7 linked regions of the Xenopus tropicalis genome follow. The protein of the gene in region 5 interacts with the protein of the main gene of each other region in a pairwise test. Links are inferred from orthologs where the notes say so. Each region holds a gene or a part of one and is shown on either strand. Other genes may lie near its edges.

Region 1 (4,282 bases), on a different chromosome or scaffold from region 5:
ATGGGAACAGGGATTCCTACTTGTGTCTCAAGGCAGGACTTGTTAGTAGTTCTACTTTAAAGGATACTGGTTTCTGTAATGTTTCTCTATATCTTGTAGCCATTCTAACATGTCAGCTATGGAAGGACAGAGAGAAGAACGCTCCAAAATTGCTTCAAGACCAATTTTTTCAATGCTTGTCTCATACATGTAGAGGACAGATCCAACCACCTGACTTACAGAGTCCCTTATTCTCTGCAGCGTAGACCTGTAAAATTTAGCAATTGAAGAGTTACAAAATGTAGATAATCCTTGTATTCAGGAAATACTTTTTTTCAAGTGAAAATCTGATGCCCAGTTTGGCAACCTACAATATTTACTGCCTGTGATAATGCCCAACAATGTAAATAGCATTTTGTATTAGGCCATAAACAAGTCTGTACAGATTACACACATCCAAAAACCTAGACCTTTGGCTTTCATGTTTTAACTTGCTGTGGGTATGTGATTATTTTGCAATATCCTGCTGAGAGTAAAAGGTATAAAGTGATTAAAACTAGTACTGTGCAATTAGTAGTCACAATGTAATAATTTATTGTAGGAAAATATTAAACCTATTACTGATTTGGTTAGATTTTGTGGGAACCAAAAGGTAGTGATTACACAACTGACAATCATGTACTTCACACTGAAATACAACCAACCAGCTTGAGGTTATATTGTGGGGATATAAACCTTCCATACAAAATAAATTAACCTGTAACTTGTATGCAAGTGTGAGTATCAACGCCATTTCATATCTCTTCTTATTGAGGAAGAAGAAAATTGCTGCTAAAAATATAAGAATATTTATAAAGGCAAAACCTGCCGAGTACAAAAAAATGTGCATCCTATGAGAATGTATTGTCCAAAATCCATTCTTTTAGCAGTGTATCACTTTAGAACTAACAACTGCTATATCTACTCAGCAGAGTAGATTTAAGGTAAGGGAACATGGAGCGGATACTCTTTCTTTCACCTGCAGTTTTTACCCAGGCAGAGGAAAGTGGATCCACTGTCATGCGCTCCTTCCTGTAGAACCATTAACAGGCAGTGTCTGCCTGTGTGGAGCTACACATAGCGGATATTGGCGCAGAAACACTCAAGTATGCCTATTCGTGCTGATATCCGCTCAGTGTAGCACAATACACACTGAAGCTGTGTCAGTCAATGGAAAGATATCTACATTAAGTATGACAAGCAAGTAATTCAGTGTTTTCAGAACTGATGTACATGTAAAGTGATGCTTGTATCTTATCTAAAAATTTGCATGGTGATACCAGCACCGGAAGGGTTGAACCAACAACACATTGGACTTACAACTTCTGATTTAAGATCTCCAAATTAAACTCCATAGCTGCTTGTAGTTTAAAACGAAGATGTTCTTGCAGGTTAATAAAGCTGCTCAGGGGGGTTTTCTTAAACAGTACTCTCTGGCAGGCCTGTAGCTGTTCTGCTAGATTACTTAAAGAAGTTAGGTGTGGGTTACACTCTAAAAGTGTATTATTCCATTCTTCATGCAGTGGTTCTATGGCATCAAAGGACTTTCTCAGCGATTGCTGCACGGAAACAAAGGCTGGTTTCTCAGACATCCTATAAAACGATAAAACTGGTGAAATACATGTCATAAATCTGATGCTTTGCACTTAAAATAAAACTCAAGCCAACAAATCAGTTATACAGCGTTATGAATGCAAAAACACACAACACCTTTCTAAGTATTTAAACCCTTGAAAAAGATATACTCACATTAGCCTAGTAATATTTAACTCAGTATAGTAAAATGTATGCTGAAATGTCTTAGAGAAGTAGGCATATGTTTAAACTAAGTTGCAGCAAACATTTCTTAAAGGAGACATAAATTACATAAACTTTAATCTTGTAGACAATTATGAATAATATATGGGGCTGGTTTTACTTTGGTATAAAAATTAAAACTATCTGTAAGAACTGTCCCTTTTTGGAATTCCCTATAGATCCTCTCAGGTCCCTGTCCGTGTTTCAGATGAGAGGTGGGCATGTTCTAATAGTCCCTGCCAGAAGCACAGTAAAAGGGGGAGAGCCAATCACAGCCCTGCAGTCACACAGGCAAAGACAGGCTTCAGTTCCCTATCAGGTCAGTCTAGCTGCTGATTGGTTCCTATATAGTGTGCTGAGTGCCGCTGGCCTCCCCTGAACAACCTGGGAAAGGAGGTAGCCAGAAGTGGAACAGATAAATAAAATCAATAAATCAGCCCCAAACACTACTTTTTAAAGCACATTTCTTTTATATTTAGATGAGTACAAATCATTGGCACAATATGGTTTTTCACACAATATGTCCCCTTTATTTTAAAAACAATAGGCCAGATTATGGGTACATACCCGCTGGCATTTATCCGTGCGTTTTGATGTGTCATATCATGACAACCCAAGGGCCAAATGACTTCAGAGGGAGTGGACACCAATGCTAAAATTGCTTGCAAATCTATAATAGCAGCAATTAGGCAAACATTTGTTATCAGATTTGCTCTGACTCGAAGATTTTGGCACACATGCATAATTTATATTGTTTTAAAATCGCTTTATGTTGGCAATGATCAGTAATATGTGGCACCCGATAAAATCTAAGCCATAAAGTATTGTTAACTTTAACAAAAAAAACTGCTTAATTAGTTCTACCTATTATGGGAGTGGCTTTCTAGTACTTCCAGTGTTATGGGTATCAGTTTTTTTTGTTTTATTTTAAAGCAGGGGTAGGGAACCTATGGCTCGGGAGCCAGATGTGGCTCTTTTGATGGCTGCATCTGGCTCGCTGCCAAATCTTTAATAAAAAAAAAAATAACAGGGGGTGTGGCCTGCGCTCGGCAGATAGAAGACATGTTCTATACGCCGAGCACAGGCCACGCCCTCCTCCGCATTGCATCCAGCAACCGGCATCCTTGGGACCCACCCAACCTTGCCCCGCGGCCAAACATATTATAGGGAATTACATTTTAAAATATGTGGTGTTTATGGCTCCCTCAGCCAAAAAGGTTCCCGACCCCTGCTTTAAAGGTTAAACAACCTATGGCTACCTGTGCTGCATTTTTTCTTTTATTTTTTATACATAGTTGGTAAAAAAAAATCTATAGATATGGTACAGCTGGTATTTGTTTGCTGGAAAAGTTGGACCTAGACCTAGCAGTAGTTACTGCCAGGAGTTGTAAGGAACAGAGGCATTGTTGCATGCTTGGAACAGTGATTACAGGAAAAAATAAGTATATCCACCCCTATATTAGCAGTTACCACAGTGGAAGATGTTCTACATAACACTACCAGAATAACATTAATAAATCTAAGATTATTTTTATAAGGGCGAATCATCGGCTCAAATGTATATAAAAGGTGATATATTTCAGTATTGCTTTCAATTATTTACTAAGAAAAAAGTAAGGCTATCCGTATTACATTGATTCGTGTCCTTAAACAGCATTACAAACAATGTCATATATAATGTCATATAGAACAGAAAAGGTAAAATAAAAACAGCGTCAACTTCCCAATTCAAACGCACGTATTTCACCAGACCTGGAAAAGCTGCTTAGCTTGCCCGCTATCATTAGCACAACTGCAACGTGAATACATTCACCTTTTTTTTTAAAGCCGGAAATGGAAACCTACAGCCGCACGGCATGAAGGGAATTGTAGTTTAAAGTCTTGTTATTGCTATCGAGGTGACTGGCGCGACAATTGTTTATTCCTTATTTTCCTTGGTAACAATTGCAGTTTAAGTTGGTTTAATACCATAATTGTGCATGAGAGTAGCTAACGTAAATTTTGATTTGTCGGCGCTGCTATAAAGGATATTTTATGATAAATCGCTAGAAACTACAAATCCCAAAAATATTTAAATAAGAGGGAATTATTTCCGGATCGGAGGTAACGTTCGGTGGTTTCCGGTTTATAGAGAAGGTAGATTGCTTAACATTTTGGTTCTTCTCGGTGTGTGTTTGTGAAAAGATTATAGTGCCAGCATGAATGAGGAGGATGATAGGGGCAGGAAGCGGAGACCACACAGCCCGGAGACAGTAACTATAAAACAGGAAAGGATAAGCCCCGTCAGGCAGCACCGCACCCGGCGAACTCCAAGCCCTCGAAGCAGCGATGGGGGATCCCCTCACCGGCACCAAGGGCGCAGGCGAAGCAGGTAATACCATAAAAAAACAATTCAAAATTGTGTGTGTGTGTGTGTGTGTGTGTGTGTGTGTATGTATGTATGTATGTATGTATGTATGTATGTATG
Region 2 (4,076 bases), about 50 Mb from region 5:
TTTTGTATGTGATTGTAAGCATTCTATTTTTAAGTACATGGTAATGTTGGGCTTGTTCATGGCTGCTTGCCTATAGTAGTCCCCTTGTACTGTAAAATAATTTGCCATACATTTACCAATAAAATTATATGAAATTACAATTTTCAGTAATATGTATATTGTAAATTTGTCAGTTGGATAGGCTTGATGTTTTAGCCTGTATGATACAGTATGGGGTTGGTGTGTGTATAGCCATGGGTAGGCAAGTATTGATCATATGTCTTTTCTAAAAGAAAAACTAAAATGGCTAGAAATGCCATATTTTATATACAGAACTTACTGCATTATCCTAAATGTTCAGCATTATTGTTCAAAATAATGATCTAGCACTTCACAGGAGCTCCAAATCTTGCCTTTTGTTAGAAGTGCCAATGACACGCACATGCTCAGTGTTCCCTGGGAAGCTGTTCAGAGGCTGAGCTTAGCGATTGTCACAAATTCTCAAGCAGAAAATGAGGTTCACCTGTCATAAAAACTTATGCTACCAGGCCGGTTATTTAATTCTGATGCTAATTGTACTGGTTTGAGCAGGCCCGGATTTGTGGCAATGCCACAAAGGTCTGGGCCTAGGGTGGCACAAACTAACAGTCAGTGCTATTAACAGTCTTATTTTTTTACATATATACATATGTATACAGCATATTGTGCATTAGCCCCTAGGCATAGTAACTGACAGCAGCATAGAGCATGTTCTCTGTGAAGCAACAAAAGCTGAACTTGCACCAGATATTACCTGGTTATTACCACCTTGCCAGTAACTTGTCAAAAGCCAAAAACCCCAATGTAACTAAGGGACAGAGCAGGACTCAATACTTATATAGGGGAGTCCATGAAATTCTAATTGAGACCTTTTAAAAAATAAGGACGGACTCTGTTAGACCTATCCAGCACATAATCTCTGTCAACATTTGCAAATCTTTCCTGCACTGTTTTTTTATCGTTATATTACATCTGATTTTTTTTCTTTGTGAAATTTAAATATTCCTTTATTTTTGTACATATCGGGCACACCAATAATAATTGGCCTGTCATCTAAGTAGCTCTGTGTCCTGTGGCACTAACACGCACACACACAGACACACAGGCACACACCTCTGTGTCATGACTAAGTAGGTGACACACCTCCCAGGGAGAGATCACTATGTGCTCAGTATGTATTTCTATTCCTCCCACCTGACGTCAGGAACTTGTCAAATTCCACATGCAGCCGTCTCCTCCTGCTGAGGCTGTAATAGCTGGAGAGGAAGCAGGTCACACTGTGCCTCTTTGAAAAACCAAGAATCCTGCACTAGGAATTAGTAACCCTGATCTGCTTCTCTGGTGCCAGCAGAAATCAGCAGCACCAAGAATAGGATATTGCAACTGAATATTATTTCAAGAAAAAGGCTCTGAAATCAAAGCTGCACAAATTCTAAGTAATTTTCTAGAGCCAGCTTCAATGCAGAACCAGGATTAGTTATTTCCTAGAGTACAGACCAAGATCTAACCAGGAGTGATCCAGAAGTGGGAATTTATCAGAGCATTTCATCAGCCATCCCAAACTCAAGATGCGTACCCACACTCTAAGAATACATGGCATAGGTGCTGGCAGAGAGCACCAAATACCCGGAACAGTCATACTTTCCAGCATTGTGGATTTCATGCTCCACAGAGCAAAGGTGAGATATCTACAAAAGGGATAAAAAAGGGAAGATTTGGAGAGATTATCAACAGAATAAGGAATAGTCAATGGGAAAGAGACAGCTTAGTTTTCCTAATTAAAATAAGCAAAGTCAAATGATACGTGCAAGGACAGAGCTTAAACTTTGTACACCATGTAGATTCTCTGCGGTGCAGTCTCATGATCCGCAGGCCTCACCATGTGTTCACAACTTAAACGGCATTGCCAAGTTTACCTATTTTCCATGTATTCCTTTTGGTATGGGGGCTAACAATAGTCTACAGGGGTTGGTAGGGACTCCTCCTGTCAGGTGGTAGGTAATCAGAGTGCAACAGTTTCTGTAAAATGTAAATATAGAGAATATACATTCTGCAAGATTATAGAATGTTCACTAATACATTTGACAGCTTTTTAGGGGATGCAATATTGCCTTTAAAAGGATTTTTTATATTTTGCCAGTTTCAAACATTTTAGGTGTTGTGGAAAAATGTTTTAATTAATGTAATGATAAAAGGGCTTTGTGACAACCCATGTATTTGTGGGGTTCAGTTAACAATAGTTGCCAAATTTGCCCATGAACAGTAATCTATGGCAACCAATCAGAATGTTGCAGTCATTGTTCTACCTGCAGCTGGCTGAAAAAAAGCCAATCACAGAAATACAGAAGTATGTATTTAATCATGTGGTGTGGCAAAATTGATTTGGAGCCTGTTGTATGTAGTGACATTGTGTTGTCACCAACCTATAAAGCAGACAACACTTAGATTAGTGCTTTATAAATGAAGTTATACATACATACAAACATTGGTTATAGGGTGACTATAGGGTGAAAAAATGTAACTAGTTCAAAATATGAGCAAAAGTGTGGACATGGTCTTAGATACCTGAGTTAAAACTGAACGTTCCTCATATTTAGCAAATACTATTTCTAAAAAAGTGGAGTTAGCAAAAAGTTTGTTTCCCCAAGAAAAATGTGACAAATTTCATAGGAAGGAGGGAGTTACTTATCACCCTTTGTGCTTATCTGAAGGAGCAGGGGTTATATCTTTGTGAACTCTATAACTCCAAGCGTCAGCAGAATGCTTACAATCCTGCCCCTGGCCCAAGGTCAGCTCTGCAACCCCAGAATTTAGAGATCAACTCAGCTCTCTCTAACGTGTCCTGATTTAGTAACTGTCAATGCAGCAATAGAAAGAAAATATGGAAAAGTGGGACTTGTCTGAAACACTTGTGTCATGATGCCAAGCTCTATTAAGGTTTCTGCAAGATTTTAGTGAGAATTGAAGGAACATTACAGAATATGATTGATCCTTATCAGCAATATTCCCTCTAAGATGTGCACTCCTGCTGGCGCACATACATTTGGAGGGCAGCACACAACAAGTGTGCCCAAAGAATGTTTTGCGTAAACACATGCAACATTTTGCATTCATTCTGACCTGAGCAAACAGATTTTAAAATGCACACATTTATTCTTTTGCGCACATGGCTGAGCAGGAATTAGAATGAAGATTGCTTATCAGCCTTAGAAAATGCTTATCATCCCAGCAACCTTCTCACGCTTTGGACTCTGTGACCCTGTAGAATGCTAGCTAAGACCAGCTAATTCCAGTTTGCACTTCTAAAGTGAAAATGGGACACTGGTAGGAGGTGGCAAAGAAAAAGCCTGTAGATTAACCGAGCAAAAGTAAATCTCTGCAGTGCAGTGCCACACATAGATCACATTTCCCAGCTTCAGCTCTAAAGAAAAAATATTAATTGACAGAACACTGTACACATGGCAGGAGTCCAAGTCTATAGGACAATGTATGAATGCAAACGAAGGAGACCTGCAAAGCGCTGACTGCCAGAAGTGCATAGCAACCTCCCCCTAAGGCTCAGAATATCTGCAGGGAAATGGCTGATAGATTGTCAGGTTATAGTTATATCGCTGCATTCATTCAGTTACATTTTACTCTGGTAACAAAACCAGCCTCTTATGATGTCATTAATTGCAGTGCCTGCTCAGCCAGCACCACCCATGCTCCATTCTGGCATGTGTCATAGTAACGAGCATACCATTACCATTTACAAGTAAGAAAGAGATTAGCAGCCAGGAGTGAAGGAATTCTTGGAATTCGGTTTAAGTAGCTAACACTACAACAAAGGTCACCTCTTACCCCCTATTCACATCACAGTGCTGTATAAAGTTTAGAAAAAAGTAAGAAAAAAAGGAAAAAAGTAAAGTAAGAGTAAAGTCTAAATTATTAATCCACAAATAGTTTGATATGTGTAGTTTGTTTGTCCCCATTTCTCGTATTCTGCAAGTGCTGGATATTTTAGGGACTCGCCAGGAGAAACAGATGAAGAAAGAAACAGATGCCAGTCCTCCTTTGTG
Region 3 (3,963 bases), on a different chromosome or scaffold from region 5:
ATAGCTTTTAAGTTAATAAATATTTCTATAGGTATACATGCCCCTGGGCTGCTTTCATTTAAACAGGTGCCACTGTGCAAATAAAAAAGCTACCTGTTGTTAGGGAAAAAAATATTAAGCCTTCCCTGATATGTTTAAAAAGTATGACTTCTGCCCAGCTAGAGAGTTACAGGTAAGACAATCATGTAAACTAAAAAATACAAAACCAATATATGCCTATTTTTATGTAAGTTGTACTACCTTTTAATCAGTGGAATTTTGGCAGTCCAGTTGTTAAATGACCCAGATATGAAGACTTCTTTGCCACCTTCTGTCCAACGGATTACAGTGGGACGACCTTGCTGAGCTGATTTTCCAGGATCCTCTGATTCCTGGGGCCACGTTGAGTCACCAGGGTGCTGCATTGCCAAAATGTAAATTAGAAATAGATTTATAGCTCGGGAAACAATAACTTGTGGGTCTCCAGCTATTGTTGCTATCTACCTTTTGTGTCAAGGGATTTCTCAGAAATGTAGTTCAACAGCAGGAGGTCCACATATAATAAACTCTTTAGAAGAAGCACTATGGAATGTATTTTTGCATCCCTTCTAACACTAGCATTCGGGTCATAGTAAATGACCCCTATGGCATTAAAAGATCACATTCCCACTCCAGTCTCATATAGCTTTTCAGTTCATTGGAATACCTTAGATTCTTGAGTACTAAAGATATTTGGGTCGTCTGTGCTTCCAACCATGATTTTGTTTTCCTCATGCTCCTTAGTAGAGTGTCCCCCAGTTGCTCCATCTGCACGGTGGGACTTGCCATGCCGATCTCCAGATAAGCGATCACTTGCTGTGTTACCCATATTTGGCTCAGGCCACTGCAAAGCAAACAAGTTGTGGTGTAAAGTGTATTTTATATGAAGGGGAAATATGTAAGAGAGCCAAAAGTACAACTAATAAATAGGGTTAATATGGCTCAGGCTATTGTTTTAATTTTGAATCATATATCTTATTTAAGCTATGCAAAGAAAGCATGGTTTATCTTTACACAGCTTCTGTGTCTAGAAATGTGCAATGCAAGTCAATGCAAGGAGAGACAATGACCTCAGTATGATATATATCAGCCTCAGAGTGCCTGGAGTTTAAGAAATAAAAAAGAAAAATAAGCAATGGGTAACTGTAACACTCATTCTCACTCCTTTACTGGAATGAATGAAGGGCTCTATCACATGGGATCTGTATGTTCTTTCCATGCTTGTGTTATTTCCTCCAGGTACCCCAGTTTCCTTTCACACTCCAAAAATATGAACTGGCTACTGATATCATTGATAGGAACTTAGACTGTAAGCTCAACTGGGGCAGGGACCGGGTAGTAATAATAATAATAAAAAATATAAATAATAATAAGGCTATTCACTACAGATTCACTACAGTTTTTTGTCTTTTATCATTTACAAAAAATGGGAAATATTCTTAGACTGTAAGCTCACACAGGAATGGCCCTTCCCTTATTGCCTCCTACCAATAAGCAATTGTATATGTGTATTGTATCCCTAATCCATACTAGCTTTGCATGCCTTGTATATTAATTTTTTCCTTATTTTTTTGCTTTATATCATTACATAGTTTTTTTCTATATGTAGCTGGCTCTTTGGTTCATGAGATCAAGGACAGTGACATCTGATCTCAAGATGGAGACCTATTCATGTATCCCAGCATTAGATCCTTGTGACCTTGCTGCTCCAGTTATTGCACCCAAACAGAGCTGCCATAACTTTGGAGATGTACTTTGTATCCCCAGAAAAAAGCAGCTCTATAAATCCAGTTCCATTCTATTTGTTGAATGGGATCTCCACAGGAACTAAAGGTTGAGGCAATCTCACGTCAGTAGCAAGGCTTGGGCTCAGTTCTCTGCACAGGATAACAGCATATTGGTAATAGGTTTTAGTGAGTGTGGCCGAAATTGCTGCGTCTGAGCACGTGTTGGAGCTTGTGTTTTAAAGGAAATGTGAACCCAAATATACGAATCTTCCATAATGAAACAAAATGTACTAAGTAACTTTCAAATATACAGTAATAACCTCTTCACTATTCTGGGACATAAAATCGCAGTGTCTGTAAATCCGACACCTGGCAGGAAGCCTAATGGGAAACAGGACACAGTAATTAGCAGTAATTTACTGGCCAGCAGCATCTCTAGAGAGTGACAGGCACAACACAAGGACTAGAATATGGGGTTTAGTTATATACAAACACAGCAGCTACCACATATTACCCAGAGCTCCTTAGAGCAAAGCACTGCAGTTCATTTAGCAGCTTGTGTATAATAACTATGGCAACAGCAGTGCCATGATACAGAATTACTTTGCCCTCTAACTCCATTCCGCTTACCACAAAGGCTACTTTATTCCATTGCTCCTTTTATTAGTACAATACATATATCAATAGGCATCACCCAGGACTTATTTAATATTAACACATCAGAAGGACCTGTATATTATAGAGCAGTTACCTAGGAACTACATGAGAGTGAATAGAAATATAAAGCAAGGAAGCCAGGAGGGAAACAACAACAACTTGACAAGGAAATATTCCCATAATGCCCTGCGCCCAGCGCTGGCATCTAATGTCATTTGCTGAGTAATAATTACACAGAACGATGTACCCTATTTACTAACAGACATGTAGTGTAGGATGCTAAGGAAACTTACCCCGTTTGCTGCAGGTCCCTCTCCCTTGGAGTGAGCGGGGTAGCCCCTGTGCAATGCCGGGAATAGCTCTCAGCTGTGCTCTAACCGTGACACATTGCACAGCCGCTTGTCACACGCAGCAAATAGATTGTGTGGCAGACGAGCCGGGCAAATCAGCACCACTTGCAACAGGCCTGCATCAGCGATTCATCTCTCTGCCATCTAGTGGAGGGAAGCTGAGGGGAAAGTAGGGCTTGTGGCACGGGTAACCCTATAAGCACTGGATCAAAAATCCCCCAAGGCGATTTAGTTTTCGTTTCCAACGTGCTATATAACAATTATATAAATCATCTTTTAATACATACGCCTAGTTGTGCAAGTCATTGTTTCCGGTTCAAGTGGGTTGTTCTGAGTATTTAGGGTTATGTTAACCCATTATAACCTGCTCTGCACAGAAACAGGGCCTTATTGTTTGTATGTAGGTATATCTTTATTTACAAAGCACTACTTATGTACGTAGCACTGTACAGTAGAATATATTAATACAAACAGGGGGTTAAGTTAATAGATAAATACAATGTATAACATATTATTGTGTCCGGGAAATGCCCTCCCCGCTATACGCAATAGCGAGTGTACAAAAATATTGTGAAAATGACTCTCTGTCGGTTGGTGCTAGAGTATAAGCAGCCAGTGCAGTTGGTCACACTACATACCACTAATGGAGTAGGTATGTAAAGAAAAAAGCGTTCAGTTTACAACATAAATAAACAGTAGCACTAAAGTAAATATTTGTATGTATGTATGTATGTATGTATATCTTTATTTATAAAGCGCTACTTATGTACGCAGCGCTGTACAGTAGAATACATTAATACAAACTGGGGTTATTAAGATAATCGATAAATACAAAGTATAACAATAAATACAAGATAAATACAGTTGCAATAAGTTAAGAGTCAAAGACACAAGAGGATGGAGGTCCCTGCCCCGTAGAGCTTACAGTCTATATATTTGAAATTCTCCAATGAGCTTTTTGGAAATCTCTGATGTAAATATCTAAAACAACTGCTGTAATATGTCCTGTGTGATTGTATCTATCTTTTGCCCCTGGAAAGCTGGGGAGGTAGGTTAAAGCGAAACATCTACGCTACCATAAAACTAGCAATGCCACTTAATATGGCAAGCCTCCACATAAAGTACTGTAACTGACACCAGCAAAGCTGACCATATACATACTGATAAAACCATATATGAAATGATTTTCAGTGTGCGCAGATGGTGGCCCA
Region 4 (3,500 bases), on a different chromosome or scaffold from region 5:
AATAATAACTGGACAAAAAAAAAAAAAAGTAACTCGACATAGCCATGATCAAGTAATAATATTGAGGGAATCTGAAAGGGTGATCCATATCTGTATTAGCTAGTTGTAATTTGGTTTTGATTCCAAGTCAAGTGTATATTTTGTGGTTCTGTAGAAATTCCTATGAGTCAGGATTCACTTCATTACAAACTTTGTTTCGGTGGGTATTTTAGCAGTCCACCTACTACATATACGTTCATTGTTTTATTTTTATGGCCCACAGTCTGCTCATAGTTCGAAGGCTCCATAGACCTCACTGTATAACATCAGAATTTGAATTTAATCCGGCCCTCAAACATTCTATATGAAAAAATAATCTGCCCTCTACATGTAATAAGACGAACAGCACTAATCTAATGTTGACACTTTTTCAAACTAAAATTATTAGGAGAAAAAAATGTTGTGAAAAGAACAAATATGTGCAAATTTGCGTGAATTTCATATAGGTTTAATATAGGTTTTTTAAACCTTAAAGGTACTTAGCCACCAATTAACCAGTGGTAAAAAGGGTAGTAAATGTTATAATTAGCACCAGTGCACAGTATGTACTGTATGTAATAAAGTAATATTTTTTTTTTAAAAAAGTAAAACTTTAAAACACTCCCATATATTGTTTTTTGGTGTATTTATTTGTGTACCGAATCTGGCAGTATTTTTTCCTTTGGATGCGGTTGCTATGAACTGAATCATTAGCAATGAGTGTACCTAAAAACACCACATATATCTTAGCCTCTTTTTCTCTGTCACTATTTAAAATTGCTCAAACTAGAACATTTTAAAAATAAGTAAAACACTGAAGTAAATCATTTTTATTGCAAAAATACTTACCAACTGCTTATTATTCTTTAAAGGCTTCTCTTCTTTAAATATGTCTTCTCCTTGACATGAAGATGATTTCAATTTCAGTTGTGAGACCTGAATATAATTGTTGGTGAGTACAGAGGTAAATTAACAAGTGTTGTTTATGTTAACTCAAAACATGACGTGATTTATTTTAGCCTCTATTGATCCCATTGCAAGCAATATACAGGATCCAACTAGACTAGCAACATGGCAGTCCATGCAATGGGGTTGCTTTTCTTTTTGCGTAATGACAACTGTAACCAACTTTATGACATGCATTGATGAAAAATATTCAGTGGTTTTAAGGTTATTTTAAATGTAATTGTTATTAAAAGCTGTGTCTGTCTTGCTATGTATATTCTCTGTACTAGTTCTGACTCCTGGAATATTGTAATTGAAGCTATCCTGGACCTTTTTCCCAGAATTCCTTCTGAAGCTAATTGATTAACACACCTGGGGGCACATTTACTAATCCACGAATCCGAATCCCGAATGGGAAAAAATCGGATTGGAAACGAAAATTTTGCGACTTTTTCGACGCCGTCACGACTTTATCGTATTTTGCGATACGATAAAGTCGTAACGGCGATGAAAAAGTAGCGCAAAATACGAAAAATTTCGACGGCGACGAAAAAGTCGCAAATACCAATCATTATGATAAAAACGCATTCGGACGCTTTCGGTCTGTTCGTGGATTAGTAAATGTGCCCCCTGGAGTTAAAACTGACTGCCTATATGCCATAGCCTTCACAGCCTTTCATTATTTAGCACATTTGTACTGTTTTTAATATATATGATATATATATATATTATCTGTAGTTTCATTGAACACAATAGACCAGGTGGGCTTTGTTAAGGCACAAGATAAAAGATGGCTGAACACAGCAGAGGTGATAACAAACATGCTGCCTTTGATCTCCTTCCTTTTTCTTCTAACCTTGTTTTTTACACAGCCCCTTCATGTATTGCCATCTTTTATATTATCTTCTATGCATCTGAAACCCTCTTTTGTCTCTATTTATTTCTGTATTAACTCCAACTGTGCAAACTTAATTATTTCCTATACTCATTAATACCCTTCTCTTTTTTTACGCCCTTCCTATTTTTACACTTACTCTGTTTAAGATCTGATATCAGTGACAAAAATATTTAAAAAATTGTTCTTCATTATGAAACATGGAATCATATTTTTCAAAGTGAATAACAGTATGCATTTCATGCCTTTAGGACAAGGAAAGCTGAATTTACCTGGGGGTAACAATATGTTATTGAGATCTGAAAAATGTACTGTGTGCGTGAGTCTAAGGGGCTGATTTACTAATCCACAAATCCGAGTTCCGAATGGGAAAAAATCGGATTGGAAACAAACATTTTGCGACTTTTTTGTTTTTTTGCTATTTTTTCGTCGCCGGCGCGACTTTTTCGTAGCCATTACGACTTGCGCGAATTGTCACAACTTTTTCGGAGCCGTTACAACTTGCGCGAATTGTTGCGACTTTTTCGTATTGAGCGCTAGTAAACGGCGGGCAAACCTTTCCGATTTTTTCGCAACGGCTACGAAAAAGTCGTGACAATTCATGCAAGTCGTAACGGCTACGAAAAAGTAGCGACAATTTAAGAAAAAGTCGCGACGGCGATGAAAAAATCGCAAAATACCGATCATTACGAAAAAAACACATTTGGGCGCTTTTCGGACGTTCGTGGATTAGTAAATCAGCCCCTAAGACTGCAGAGGGATGCCTGGGGAAGTAAGTTGGTGGCATGGTACTGTGCATAAAAGGATCTCCAGCCCGGGGATAAGTTCACCTTTTCTTGTTATTTAACTTTGAAATTTCTCACTAAAGGAAGTGAAAAAGACAAACAAATTATTACCATTGTTTCATGAACCAATTTCATTTTTCTAAATTGTTGATCCCACTGCCTGTTCACGTGAAGCAGCTGTAATAAGAATGTTAATACAGTATTTTAATTTTAATAATACAGTCGTTTTTGAATAATTGTTTCCATTTTTTTTATAAACACCTGGATCAACTTAATATGCTTTTATTCCTTAACTATACAATTTCTGTATTTGAGTGTTATTTCCAGACCAGTTCTGCTACTGTGCCTATAACAGTGCTCTTTATTTACCCTGTTGCGTGTAGAGACATGAGGAACCATTTATTAGTTCAGGTGCAGGTGGAATAATGGGTGCAAAACAGTGCCCCTTAGTGCTTATTCACTTTGGACTTGGGGAAGGTTCATTGCTGCCTCTGCACCCACACTGAATTAAAATGCCATAGGCCACGTGTTAAATACAGGGCTTTATTGCAGCCAGTGTCTACCAGCGTTCCCTGACTTGTGCATCTGAACAGGCCCATAGAGGCAATCTGTAGATTCTGGCAAATGCCAGAGGGGTTGCTAAAAGATTTCATAGTAACTATTAATTGAACTGATAGGGGTTCCTAAACCTGTGTTGTATTCATGAGCGGGTCCCCTCATGAATAAAGCGATGCCAAACACAGGTGGTGTTGTATTCACAGATCTCATACAATACAATGGTTTAAGAACAAAAGGTCATTCTCCTGCAATGCCATACTTCTTAATATTTGAATATCAAAACTGCCTTGACCAAGTCC
Region 5 (3,500 bases):
ATGTGGACTCTCTGTTCTGTATAACATAGTTCTCTCACGGGCCAGTTATTTTTAAAGGGAAACTACACTACTACAATGTTGCTTGCACCATCAGAGGAAAGTTCATCTGCAGCTTTTTTTGTAGTCATCAGGGCAGATGTTCCCAGGTATAGTGCTTTGCACACAAATCAACAAGGAATGACGCAATAGTCCTGCCACCACGTGCTGCCCGCTGAAAGTGCATCGGGCGATTCCCGAGGTGTTAAACCCGGTAGTCTCTCTTGCTGACCTTTGGGTGGAGCTGTCGGGCAGTAAAGCTTAAGTCTCATCAGAACTTAGCTACTCATCTGCTGTATCTGCTGCAGGTACAAAAGCTGGGCCCAGTTACCAAATTACCCAGCCATCTTTCATTTAATTGCAGTTAGAGGCATTCAACCTATGGCTAATAGTGATAAGGCGCCTAATGATTTGTTTAAGCATTTTCTTACTTGAGTTGTTAGTAAAGTTTATTCTGGGGAAAAGCTAAAACTACTTTCTTTCTGATGGTATTTTGGACATAATGTCACCCTAACCTACATCTGGAGAATCCTTATTGTCTGCATAGTCCCATCAGCAACATGTTCTATATATAGGTCAGGCTGCCTTATTTACAACTATATGTGTTTCCAAAGAGCAGAGATTTCCTTTAGCAGGAAATTCAGTAAACTAAATTTTATAGAATTGAATCTGTAGAACTCTTTTACTTATGCGTTTCCCACAAACCAATGCAATTACTGCCATTTCATTCTTTGTTTTATTGCAAAACCCCAAAGCTCTTTACTGGCACTTCCACTTGTTATGGCCTCTAAGGAGCGCAAATGCATGGACCTAAATAGCTGCTTGATAATCAGTCTTGTCATATAAAAGACACATCGATATCAAAGAAAATATCATGGGGAGGGAGAGCTGAATGGCATATTTCAAGGTTAAAAGAAGGCCTGTTTCACTGTGCACACGTCTATTTAAGGCTGTTTATCTTATTTATACATAAATACAATATGAATATGAGATCTAATTTAATATAAAATGAATGAGATCTAATATCCAGAAACCCATTATCCAGAAAGGACCTAAACAGTACTGCCATCTTCCAATGTTCCATGGAGCAGTTTAAGGGAAATATGCATATATATCCTAATGGTTCCATTTTTTCCTCTGTAATAGGAATGATGGTAACTAAGCTACCATAAAAATATATATTGGTGGCAAAGTAACTCTTTTGGTTTTTTACATTTTTATACTTCTAGATATGGTATCTATTAGCTGGAGTGCTCAGAACCTGGGGTTTCCGGATAAGGGGTTTTATTGAAATTTAGATCAACATACCTTGAGTCTTCTAAAACCATGAAATTAACCCAATAGGATTGTTTTGCCACCAATATGGACCCATGCAGCTTAGTTACCATGAAATGTGAATAAATGTTTACATTGGACTGTATGGGGGACGGCTTTTCTGTAATTCAGGGCTTTCTGGATATTGGGTTGGTTTCTGGATAAGAGATCTCATACCTGTAATGTATAAATATAAAGGACTCTGTCCTATCATTCACCTTAATGTATTTCTGTGAACATATAGTGTCCATCATAATTAGCATTCAAGCGGTTTCTCTCCGTATTTATCCACTGCTTTTGGTCCCCTTAGGACTAGTCTGAACCACATTTTAGGAAATTATAGCCTAATTGATGTTTCTAGTGAATGGATTACCTTAAAAAAGCACCCAGTGCCAGAGGCATTAATACAGTAACATTCATTCACTGTAAGCACTGACACAGTAACACTAAAAAATACGTTTTTGTAATGAAAATATAATGTAGTTTTGCCCTGCACTCGTAACAGTGGTGTGTTTGAAACCCTACTATAGTTTATATGGAGAAAAGGAGATAACCAACAGGCTCTGTAGTATACACTTTAATTATACTACTGTTATCTGCTGTGTATCCTGTATCTGAATGGCTGCCCCCATTGCTTACACAGCAACTGTGTAGTAATAACACCCCTGTTATACATTATATTAGCATTCCTAGTGCAACCAACTGCTCAATCCAGGACCCACAGTTCTAGTCAGTTGTGTCTGGCATGAACACGTTTTAGGGAGACAGAGCTCAATAATAAAACAGCACCAGAGTATTAAAGTAGAACGTTGGACATTTGCAGCAGGTTCCGATACCGAGAGTAACCAATCAGATTGCTTTCACTGGTGATTAGAAGATGCTGCTTTGGTTGATAACAGGCTACTAAAACTTTTCCCAACTTTGCAGCTATTAACAGTTCCTATGTAATTCTCGTAGGTTTGCCAGAAATCTGGTGAAATATCATTGCTGAAGCAACAGTTGAAGGACTCCCAGGCTGAGCTGGCACAGAAATCTAATGAGATACTGCTGCTTCGGGCTCAGGTGCGAGAGGCTCGATCCGACCTCCAGATCAGTGAAGAGCAGGTACAGGAGCTGCAGGACACGGCGCACACCAAGACACTGGAGCTGGAGGTGTGCGAGAATGAACTCCAACGCAAAAAGAATGAGGCAGAGTTGTTGCGGGAGAAAGCCAGCAAGTTAGACCAGGAAGTAGCCGGCCTAAGGGAAGCAGCAGTAGCCAACCTGCGCCATGGACTATGCCTTTGCCATGAAAAGGAGGACCCTTTCTTATTATATGAAAGTGACGAGGCCAAAGCGCAGCGGCAGAACGCAGACAACCTGCAGGGCTTGCAGCAGTATGTGGAGCGTCTCAGGGAAGCCCTAACAAGCGAACGCAGGAGATATCAGGAGCAAGCTGACAGCTTTGAAGATGAGCGGCGAATATGGCAAGAGGAAAAAGAGAAGGTGATCCGTTATCAAAAACAGCTGCAGCATAACTATATCCAGATGTACCAGCAGAACCGCGAGCTGGAGAGGGACATTAAGCAGCTCTCCTTAGAACTGGAGGCAAGAGAACTGGACGAGTTTGACTTGCACGGGGCCGAAATCCAGTTTGAGGAAATCACAGCTACAGAAATCTGAAGCCAGTGAATATGCAGAGCTACCACAAATGCCTTTATACACGCCGACAACATTCCAGCCAATGGCTTTGCCAAAACACAGCTACTAAACACTCACACAAGCTCTTCTTCATTGTCACTCAGACTTACAGTGGATAAACCATACTCAGTGTTTTGACAGGGAACCATAGGTTTATGGACTGCACATTAACACTACATGCAACGAGATTTCTAATTGGCAGATCTTGAACACTCATACAAAGTATAGTATTAAGGAGCCATATGTATATATATATATATATACTGTATACCTGCTCACAAGTTATACTATATGGACCAAAGGAACTTGTGTCATTGAATAAGAAATGTATGATACTATGTACAGCACTTATGTATGTGTTTGCATAAAAACCTGCTCCCTTGTCATGGCGTGTAACAGAATTTGAGGTACTGTCATGGAGCACAAAGGTGCCATTATGTTAAGTCTGTTCAGTACTTTTCAGTATTCCT
Region 6 (4,232 bases), on a different chromosome or scaffold from region 5:
ACTGGATGACTTGGAGAAGAGGGAGGAACATGCAGGTATCTTTGTTTTAAAGAGGGCACAGGAAGAAACTGATATCTCCCAAAGCCCAAAGGAGCAGAGTGGCATTAGTTCTGCTAAAGCAATACTACCTGCTACTTTCTGTTGCACTTATTTTAGTAGTAAGGTGCAGGGATAACTGTTATGGTCAACATCATCCCTGCAAGACAGATTGACATGACCAGTTTCTTTGAGTGCCCAAGCACTTACCACCTCTCTCTCAGGGGAGCTTGGTCTTGATCCAGGTAGTCCATTCTTTGTTGGAGTTTTTGCCTCTTTCTTTGGAAATTGAATCTTCTTAAGATCCAAACGATCATGAGTAACCCACTCATCTAATCGCTTGTTAACTGGGGGGATTAATAGAGTAAAAAAGTAAAAAAAAGAGACTGAAATAATTTTACAAGAGAAAAAAATGCTAGCAATAAGAATTAGAAGAGGTTAAAAAATTTTAACTTCTGTGTTTACGTGACAAAAAGTCACATGAATTTTAGGATTCAGATTTGGTTCCACCAGGACTGTGGATTCGCCAAATCTGAATCTTGCCGAAAAAGGCTGAATCCCGAACCAAATCCTGGATTCGGTGCATCCCTACATTATAATATGCAAGCTAATTGATAACAGAATATATGGCATTTTCTAAAAAAAGACATGGACTAGCTATAGCAGAGTAAATGCTACAGACTGACAAAGTGGGCCTGATTTGGCTGGCCAATCAAGAAGCCTGAAAGAAAGTCTACAGAAGGGCTCTGACGACATAGGTGTCTGTGAATCCAACATACAGGAATCTGTGTGCCTGTACATACACAGTTGCCTGTGCAGAGGTCTGAAATATTGCTGCAATAGGTATGTCACTGGTATGGAGGGAGTGTCTTTTATACACTCTTTTGTCACAACTGTCACACCTGTATTGAATAAAAATTTGTTTCTGCATGTGTAAATTGCAAGAGGGCAACTGGCAGCTGATCTAAGCCTGCTGGTGAGCAGCACAATCTTGAATGCAAAAGAGTCAGAAGTGCTGTGTATATGAGGATATAAAGGATATAAACAATAAGCTGCTTTGCTGTTATATGTACAAATGCAGCTTCATCAGCCCCTAGCCCAGCCCGGCTCAATTCCTTTACTTCCCCTTTGCACATGTTTGCTGTTGAGCCTCATGACATGCCACAGCAAATCAGCTTTCACTATGCTCTGTCACTCACACAGAGATTCTGGAGGGTGGCGAATGGGAGGCTGCTTCAATAATTAGCCATAACTTTGTAACAGTGCAACATTTCTAAATGCTATACATTGTCAAAATGTTTGTCTAGATTTTATATTTTCAATATTCTAAAAACATTTTTCATGATTGCTCCCCTTTAAGCAGCTCAAGCCTAGTTTCAGTACATATCATTATTTAAGCCATGTATCCTGCATATTACTATATGTAATATGCAGGATATATGTAATACTAAGTGAAACATTAAACTCCATATTTAAATATAAACTTACAGTCTATATAATGCACATAGAATAGTTTCTTCCCTGTAAGTTCCTTGATGCTCAGAATTTCAGCAAGTGCTAGAGAGGATTAAACAGAGACAAAAGAAGTGGTTACAAAAACGGTATATTTTATTATGAATTACATTTTATTTCTTTGCTTCTTCACAAACCATCTGAATGAAAATTCACCATATAAATAAAAAACACACAGAATTCTACACTCTTGTAAACATAAACAAGTACAGGTATGGGATCCATTTTCCGGAAACCAGTTATCCAGAAAGCTCCGAATTACGGAAAGCCCATCTCCCATAGATTCTGTTTTAATCAAATAATGTAGAATTTTAAAATTGATTTCCTATTTCTCTGTAATAATAAAACAGTACCTTATATTTGATCTGTACTAAGATATAATTAATCCTTATTGGCGGCAAAACAGTCCTATTGGGTTTAATGAATGTTTTTGTGATTTTTTTCTTACGGTATGAAGAACCAAATTATGGAAAAACCCCTTATCCGAAATACCCTTGGTCCCGAGCATTCTGGATAATGGGTCCTATACCTGTACAAGCTATATTTCTGCAATATTTATTACAGTGCGTTTCAAGCTATGTAGTACTTACGCCATTCAACTTCATTATCTTGATTCTTGCGAAGTACAGGCAATCGGCAACCCTCCACAATCTCTGCCTGAAAATCAGTCACGGATAAATGAGAAACGGGCAACTTAACAGTGTATTATTTTAATGGCTGTATAATGTAGTGGCAAATACTTGTTCCTGACAGTTTATGTCCCCTTTAAATAATAAAGTACAACATAAAAGGTGTCAATGTGTGAGATACAATAACTAACAGCACATCTAAAAGGAGTAATAATGAGGAAATAAATCCTAGACAGATCAGCTGAAAAACAAATATAGAAAACCAAATGTAATATGGCTCAAGATGCAGTAATTTGTCTGAGGAAATCCTGACATAACATGGTCATTAATGGGGAATATAAATGGGGAACCTTACAAGCAATTGGAATTTGCATTCACAGCAGCTGATATACGGCCATGCAAGAAGCGACAGCCAATGTTTGGTCAATATGATTAAATGTTTCTATGGCCTCATAATACAGAGAGGTTCTCTTGACATAAAAGAAATGGATAACGCAAAATTCCAGCCCCTTTTCGTATCCTACGCTTTGCATGTAACTATATTCTGTGGAAATATCACCTACAATTGCGCATACATAGCGATAAGAGCTAAACAATAAATCTTACCTCCGCCATGATTTTGCTTTAAAGCGACTTCCTTCTTTCCAGCCTCGCAGCCGCCTCCCCCTTCCTTGACAACCGTATCGAAGGGCAAAGAAGTCGCGCCGGAATAAGCATAGCATTTTTACGAGCCTCTAAAACTCACCTTTGTCCTTGATTTGGAACAGGTTATGAAATTTTAAAGAAATATATTTTTTGTAATAACTGGAGCATACTGGACAAATATAAATATAGTATTAATTACCAGGCATTCGCCTGGGCAGCAATAGCAAAAAGGCGGTAATTGTTTCCCCTTTTTCGATTTGACACGCACCATGCGTTCCAGTGATAGCGATCCGCCCAAAACACTTCCGTAAACGGAGTTACGCATGTGTGTAATAGTAAAAACAGTGTAGTATACAGAGGTTGGTTGCGAATGTGTGTGAAACATTTATTCCCATCAAAGGGGACTCTAAAGGGATGTGGGTCCCAGTAAATTCTGGTTATGCCAATGCCTTTGTTTCTTTTCCTTGATGTGTGTTGTATAAGCAATGGCTAGTGAGAAATGACCTATGCTGTATGTAATGGAAATAAATTACGTTATTGATCATCTGGAACCACAATAGCTAAGGCAGAAGATTAACTTCTGTAACTTTAACACAAATATATAAAATTAATTTCTGATAAGCAGTGAAGTAACAGGTAAGATCAAATGGGCATTGTTCTAATATGCTCTGCTTTACTGTCACCTCAGCTCATGGACTGACAATATACTCTATTTATTGTTGTATATATAAACGTAAGTGAAAGCTGCTTAGTAGCAACAGGCAAAGACACAAGGACCCGGAGGTATAACAACAATAACCCAGTGGTTGCTTGGGAATCAAGAAATGTACAGGCCAGGCAAGGGTTCTGGATAATGCATAATTTCTATCTGTGAGAAACTGACATCTTCCTCAAAGTTTTAATGCCTAAAAAAACATTTTCTTGTGGGACCCAGTGTATAATGAATATAATGAATTTGAAACAACAACATATTAAAGAAATGCTCAGCTTTTTCAGAGCAGATCTATAATCGGACTTTAGAAACATGCTAAAAAGGGCTCAAAACAGAATTAAGTGTTTTTTCTTTTCTAGTATAACTGTTATTGCATTTAATTGCAAGGCTTTGTAAAGGTAACATTTTAAAGCAGAAGCACTGATGAGGTTAAAAGTCCTGCTGCATGCATAGGGTTGATCACCTAATTCCTATCCACTCCTAAACATAAAAAAAGACTATATAAAGAATGTTGTTATGCAACAGAAATTTTCTAACCTGTCCAACTAAACGACCAATTGCCATGGTATGAAAATTGTTGGGACAATAATTCAGAGCCCACAGACAGTCTGAAAATCACACTGTTGGCCAATTTATTAGCACATGTTTCGAGTCACACAAGGACCATTTCTCAAATGGCAGTATGATCTAACTAGAGC
Region 7 (4,156 bases), on a different chromosome or scaffold from region 5:
ATAGGTTAAGAAGTCTACCATTATTCCAGAATAACTAATCAATGATAAATGTAAGTAAGCAAACAGTTCAAACCAGAAGAAGAAGCTAAAAGATTTCACTTCTTAAATCGTAAGCTCTTGTGAGCAGGGCATTCCACCTGTTGTCTCCTAATAATATGCAATTGTAACTGTGCATCTTTTCTGGTGAAATATTTGTTTGTGCGTGTAAAGGGTTAAGCCTTATAATTGTATCCCTTTATTTTGTAAACCGCAGATAATATTATGGTCCAACCCTATGAATTTCTGCTATATCTGTGATAAACATTTCCAGAAAAATCACCTAGTAAAGTTGTTTTATAGCATGGAAAACAAATTTTCTTTAATGTTCCAACAGAAGAGTCAGCTTAGATTTCGAGACCTACTCTTCTGCAAAAAGGCACTTTTGCTGCTCTATATTCATGATCTAGTGACAGCCCTTGAAATAAATGAAACTGGGGGTAGAGTTAGCAGAACACAGTTTAGCTTGACATTGTTAAGAGTGAAGCCTGGGACAATTACAAACATAGGGACGACAGCAACAAACTCCTTCATTTGCTCACAACCTGTACAGAGAGAAAACAAAACTGTATCTAACAAATACTTTACATAATGACTGTGAGGTTAAAGTGACTGTAATTATTACCTGTTTTTACATTGTTAGCTTTAAGTACAGCAACTATACCAGCTGAGAGTCCTGGACAAAGTCCTTCACGTAAGATCACCATGGTTTCAGCTCAGCTGAGTTAACAGAGAGAAAAAAAATGATTATCGTATAAAGTATTTTACCTGTGTATCATATCAATTCTTCATAAAGTAAGTATTCAAAATACCCACTGGATGCTCTGTCTGTCAGTTACTCATGTCTTTGGGTATTAGCAATAACACAGATTTGTCCTTTGAAAAGTATATACAAACTGTCATATTTCTGCAAAGTTATGCCCCGTATGCTTTTTTGAAAGGATACCAAAACAGTTTTTGACAGGAATCATAGAGCCCTGTAATAATTACTGTCCAATTTAAATATTGCCTGCTCACCACTGGTCTAAAACATCAGCTGAAAGGCATGAACTAGACCTCAGCAGCAGATTTGCACATTTCAACCCATGCAAAAACAAATGTGTGTGTGAGACCGGGGGAAGTAACTTCCATGCCACGTGGGGAGAATTATAACAAGGAACACTGAAGCATCATAGTGGAGCATAAACATCACTGTGATGCTTTAGTGTATCCTGTTTTTTTACACTTAGATAGCTTTGGAATGCAGGTCTGGGTTTGCAGGTCCAACATTCTAATCTACCTTTAACTCAAGGCACGGAAGATCGGGGGAGCAGGCGAATTCAGCATTACTGTAAGTGCTTATGACTGTATTTACATTGACCATTCTGATAAAGCTTACTTTATTTTTACCTTTCCTTCTCCTCTAAAATGTAATGTGCTGTTGCCTTGTACTGGTCAAAGTTGTGTGTTTGCCTTAGGAACCTTATAAATACTCTACTGCAGGGGTAGGGAACCTGTGGCTTGGGAGCCAGATGTGGCTCTTTTGATGGCTGCATCTGGCTCGCTGCCAAATCTTTAATAAAAAAAAAATAATGGGGGGTGTGCCCTGCACTCGGCAGATAGAAGACGTGTTCTAAGCCTTAGAACACGTCTTCTATTCGCCGAGCGCAGGCCACGCCCTCCTCCGCATCGCATCCGGCATCCTTGGCACCCACCCTACCTTGCCCCTGCACTCGGCGGATAGAAGACGCATTCTAAGCCTTAGAACACGTCTTCTATCCGCCGAGCGCAGGCCACTCCCTCCTCCGCATTGCATCTGGCATTCTCGGCACCCACCCTACCTTGCCCCTTCGCTCAGCGGATAGAAGACATGTCCTAAGCCTTATAACACATCTTCTATCCGTGGCGCGCAGGCCACGCCCTCCTCTGTAACACATCCTCGGCACCCACCCTACCTTGCCCCTTCGCTCGGCGGATAGAAGACATGTCCTAAGCCTTATAACACATCTTCTATCCGTGGCGCGCAGGCCACGCCCTCCTCTGTAACACATCCTCGGCACCCACCCTACCTTGCCCCTGCGCTTGACGGATAGAAGACGTGTTCTAAGCCTTAGAACACATCTTCTATCCGCTGAGCGCAGGCCACGCCCTCCTCCGCACCCGGCATTCTTGGGACCCACCCTACCTTGCCCCTGTGCTCGGCGGATAGAAGACATGTTCTAAGCCTTAGAACACGTCTTCTATCCGCCGAGCGCAAGCCACGCCCTCCTCCACTTGGGACCCACCCTACCTTGCCCCGCAGAATCCGCGGCCAAACATATTGTATGGCTCTCATGTAATTACATTTTAAAATATGTGGTGTTTATGGCTCTCTCAGCCAAAAAGGTTCCCGACCCCTGATTTAGGGTATCATTATGTGTCATGTGAATGCAAAAACCTATACTAATACATGCCAACAGGCCACAATATTTGAGGCTATGTCTCAGTTTAAAGTAATAATTTTCTATATATACCATTTGACTGAAATCCAATCAAGTACTGGCCTTAGTATATATGTATGTATGTATGTATGTATAACTATGGTCCCCCTGCAGTCCTCGCCTCCACCATATCCCCTCACCCATATCCCCTCACCCATATCCCCTCACCTGTTGCAAACCCTTGCCTGTTTACTTCTGAACCTTTATGCCATATAATCCCTGCACTGACTCAATTCTACTTTCAGATCTCCCGCTCCTTCTCTGGATGCTGCATCTCCATACAGCGAGGAAGTTGTGCTGGTGACAGTCATGTGACAAGACGTGGGCGGGGGAATGTGATGTCACTTGAGGGAGTGCTTAGCTGTGATATCACAACTTCCTCAAAGCCAGTCTTTGGAGCTGCTGCGGCCCATGCAGAGGAGGGGGTAGGCGATCTGAATGTAGAACTCCGGTGGCTCAGGTTTCAGATGCCAGAAAGGTACATCAATACACAAAAGAAGGGTTTGCAAGAGGTGAGGGCTGCTGTGAGAGGGAAATGGCGGAGGTAAGGGCTGGAAGGAGAGTAAGGGGATCTACGGTGGGGATCTCTCTATGTACTGTACTAAGTAGCTGAACTGAAAGAGCAAACTGATATAAACATGACTGTTTGGGGGGGGGGGGGGGGGGGGGGGTTGGGCATAGTGTGAAATGTACAGTGTGTTTGGGGGAGCAGTATGATGGGGAGCCCAGGGTGGTATGTACAGTGTGGCTGCTGGGGGAGCCCAGGGTGGTATGTACAGTGTGGCTGCTGGGGGAGCGCAGGGTGGTATGTACAGTGTGGCTGCTGGGGGAGCGCAGGGTGGTATGTACAGTGTGGCTGCTAGGGGAGCCCAGGGTGGTATGTACAGTGTGGCTGCTAGGGGAGCCCAGGGTGGTATGTACAGTGTGGCGGCTGGGGGAGCCCAGGGTGGTATGTACAGTGTGGCTGCTGGGGGAGCCCAGGGTGGTATGTACAGTGTGGCTGCTGGGGGAGCCCAGGGTGGTATGTACAGTCTGGCTGCTAGGGGAGCCCAGGGTGGTATGTACAGTGTGGCTGCTGGGGGAGCCCAGGGTGGTATGTACAGTGTGGCTGCTGGGGGAGCCCAGGGTGGTATGTACAGTGTGGCTGCTGGGGGAGCCCAGGGTGGTATGTACAGTGTGGCTGCTGGGGGAGCGCAGGGTGGTATGTACAGTGTGGCTGCTGGGGGAGCCCAGGGTGGTATGTACAGTGTGGCTGCTGGGGGAGCGCAGGGTGGTATGTACAGTGTGGCTGCTGGGGGAGCGCAGGGTGGTATGTACAGTGTGGCTGCTGGGGGAGCCCAGGGTGGTATGTACAGTGTGGCTGCTGGGGGAGCGCAGGGTGGTATGTACAGTGTGGCTGCTGGGGGAGCGCAGGGTGGTATGTACAGTGTGGCTTCTGGGGGAGCGCAGGGTGGTATGTACAGTGTGGCTGCTGGGGGAGCGCAGGGTGATATATATGGTGTGGCTGCTAGAATGTAGATTATTATGTAAAGGGGATTAGGGGAGTGCAGAGTGACATACTCTTGTGACATACATGTGTTTAGAAAAATAGAAGGTGCACTTTATGTTAGGCATTATAAATACCGTGGATTAGGTGTTTGTCGTTAACCTTGTGACATTGA

The links.
Region 1: the proteins of lzts2 (region 5) and c1orf109 interact in binary tests that used the Homo sapiens proteins (3 or more experiments, as listed by UniProt). The two-hybrid records come from large-scale screens. The link is inferred for Xenopus tropicalis from reciprocal best matches to the Homo sapiens genes LZTS2 and AIRIM.
Region 2: the proteins of lzts2 (region 5) and usp2 interact in binary tests that used the Homo sapiens proteins (3 or more experiments, as listed by UniProt). The two-hybrid records come from large-scale screens. The link is inferred for Xenopus tropicalis from reciprocal best matches to the Homo sapiens genes LZTS2 and USP2.
Region 3: the proteins of lzts2 (region 5) and prkab2 interact in binary tests that used the Homo sapiens proteins (3 or more experiments, as listed by UniProt). The link is inferred for Xenopus tropicalis from reciprocal best matches to the Homo sapiens genes LZTS2 and PRKAB2.
Region 4: the proteins of lzts2 (region 5) and tnip3 interact in binary tests that used the Homo sapiens proteins (3 or more experiments, as listed by UniProt). The two-hybrid records come from large-scale screens. The link is inferred for Xenopus tropicalis from reciprocal best matches to the Homo sapiens genes LZTS2 and TNIP3.
Region 6: the proteins of lzts2 (region 5) and kat5 interact in binary tests that used the Homo sapiens proteins (3 or more experiments, as listed by UniProt). The two-hybrid records come from large-scale screens. The link is inferred for Xenopus tropicalis from reciprocal best matches to the Homo sapiens genes LZTS2 and KAT5.
Region 7: the proteins of lzts2 (region 5) and rad51d interact in binary tests that used the Homo sapiens proteins (3 or more experiments, as listed by UniProt). The two-hybrid records come from large-scale screens. The link is inferred for Xenopus tropicalis from reciprocal best matches to the Homo sapiens genes LZTS2 and RAD51D.

Annotation. Positions count from the first base shown.
Region 1 is NC_030678.2:86,153,920-86,158,201, reverse strand, and holds the start of c1orf109 (uncharacterized protein C1orf109 homolog), read right to left. Parts: upstream 2,801-4,282; 5' UTR 2,559-2,800; coding exon 2,383-2,558; intron 1,612-2,382; coding exon 1,339-1,611; intron 248-1,338; coding exon 68-247; coding exon of another isoform or gene 52-67; exon of another isoform or gene 21-51; intron 1-20. UniProt on the Homo sapiens protein: Part of the 55LCC heterohexameric ATPase complex which is chromatin-associated and promotes replisome proteostasis to maintain replication fork progression and genome stability.
Region 2 is NC_030683.2:80,112,306-80,116,381, forward strand, and holds the start of usp2 (ubiquitin carboxyl-terminal hydrolase 2), read left to right. Parts: upstream 1-1,276; 5' UTR 1,277-1,586; coding exon 1,587-1,697; intron 1,698-4,076. UniProt on the Homo sapiens protein: Hydrolase that deubiquitinates polyubiquitinated target proteins such as MDM2, MDM4 and CCND1. Isoform 1 and isoform 4 possess both ubiquitin-specific peptidase and isopeptidase activities.
Region 3 is NC_030680.2:118,092,965-118,096,927, reverse strand, and holds the start of prkab2 (5'-AMP-activated protein kinase subunit beta-2), read right to left. Parts: upstream 2,801-3,963; 5' UTR 2,696-2,800; intron 863-2,695; 5' UTR 848-862; coding exon 686-847; intron 399-685; coding exon 241-398; intron 1-240. UniProt on the Homo sapiens protein: Non-catalytic subunit of AMP-activated protein kinase (AMPK), an energy sensor protein kinase that plays a key role in regulating cellular energy metabolism.
Region 4 is NC_030677.2:71,474,019-71,477,518, forward strand, and holds part of tnip3 (TNFAIP3-interacting protein 3), read right to left. Parts: intron 2,821-3,500; coding exon 2,755-2,820; intron 955-2,754; coding exon 868-954; intron 1-867. UniProt on the Homo sapiens protein: Binds to zinc finger protein TNFAIP3 and inhibits NF-kappa-B activation induced by tumor necrosis factor, Toll-like receptor 4 (TLR4), interleukin-1 and 12-O-tetradecanoylphorbol-13-acetate.
Region 5 is NC_030683.2:29,793,038-29,796,537, forward strand, and holds part of lzts2 (leucine zipper putative tumor suppressor 2 homolog), read left to right. Parts: intron 1-2,307; coding exon 2,308-3,012; 3' UTR 3,013-3,500. UniProt on the Homo sapiens protein: Negative regulator of katanin-mediated microtubule severing and release from the centrosome. Required for central spindle formation and the completion of cytokinesis.
Region 6 is NC_030680.2:37,908,523-37,912,754, reverse strand, and holds the start of kat5 (histone acetyltransferase KAT5), read right to left. Parts: upstream 2,801-4,232; 5' UTR 2,793-2,800; coding exon 2,784-2,792; intron 2,206-2,783; coding exon 2,139-2,205; intron 1,594-2,138; coding exon 1,525-1,593; intron 384-1,524; coding exon 247-383; intron 1-246. UniProt on the Homo sapiens protein: Catalytic subunit of the NuA4 histone acetyltransferase complex, a multiprotein complex involved in transcriptional activation of select genes principally by acetylation of nucleosomal histones H2A and H4.
Region 7 is NC_030678.2:94,397,372-94,401,527, forward strand, and holds the start of rad51d (DNA repair protein RAD51 homolog 4), read right to left. Parts: upstream 2,801-4,156; 5' UTR 2,664-2,800; intron 757-2,663; 5' UTR 744-756; coding exon 662-743; intron 1-661. Other genes in the region: keratin, type I cytoskeletal 9-like, read left to right, coding at 3,231-4,013. UniProt on the Homo sapiens protein: Involved in the homologous recombination repair (HRR) pathway of double-stranded DNA breaks arising during DNA replication or induced by DNA-damaging agents. Bind to single-stranded DNA (ssDNA) and has DNA-dependent ATPase activity.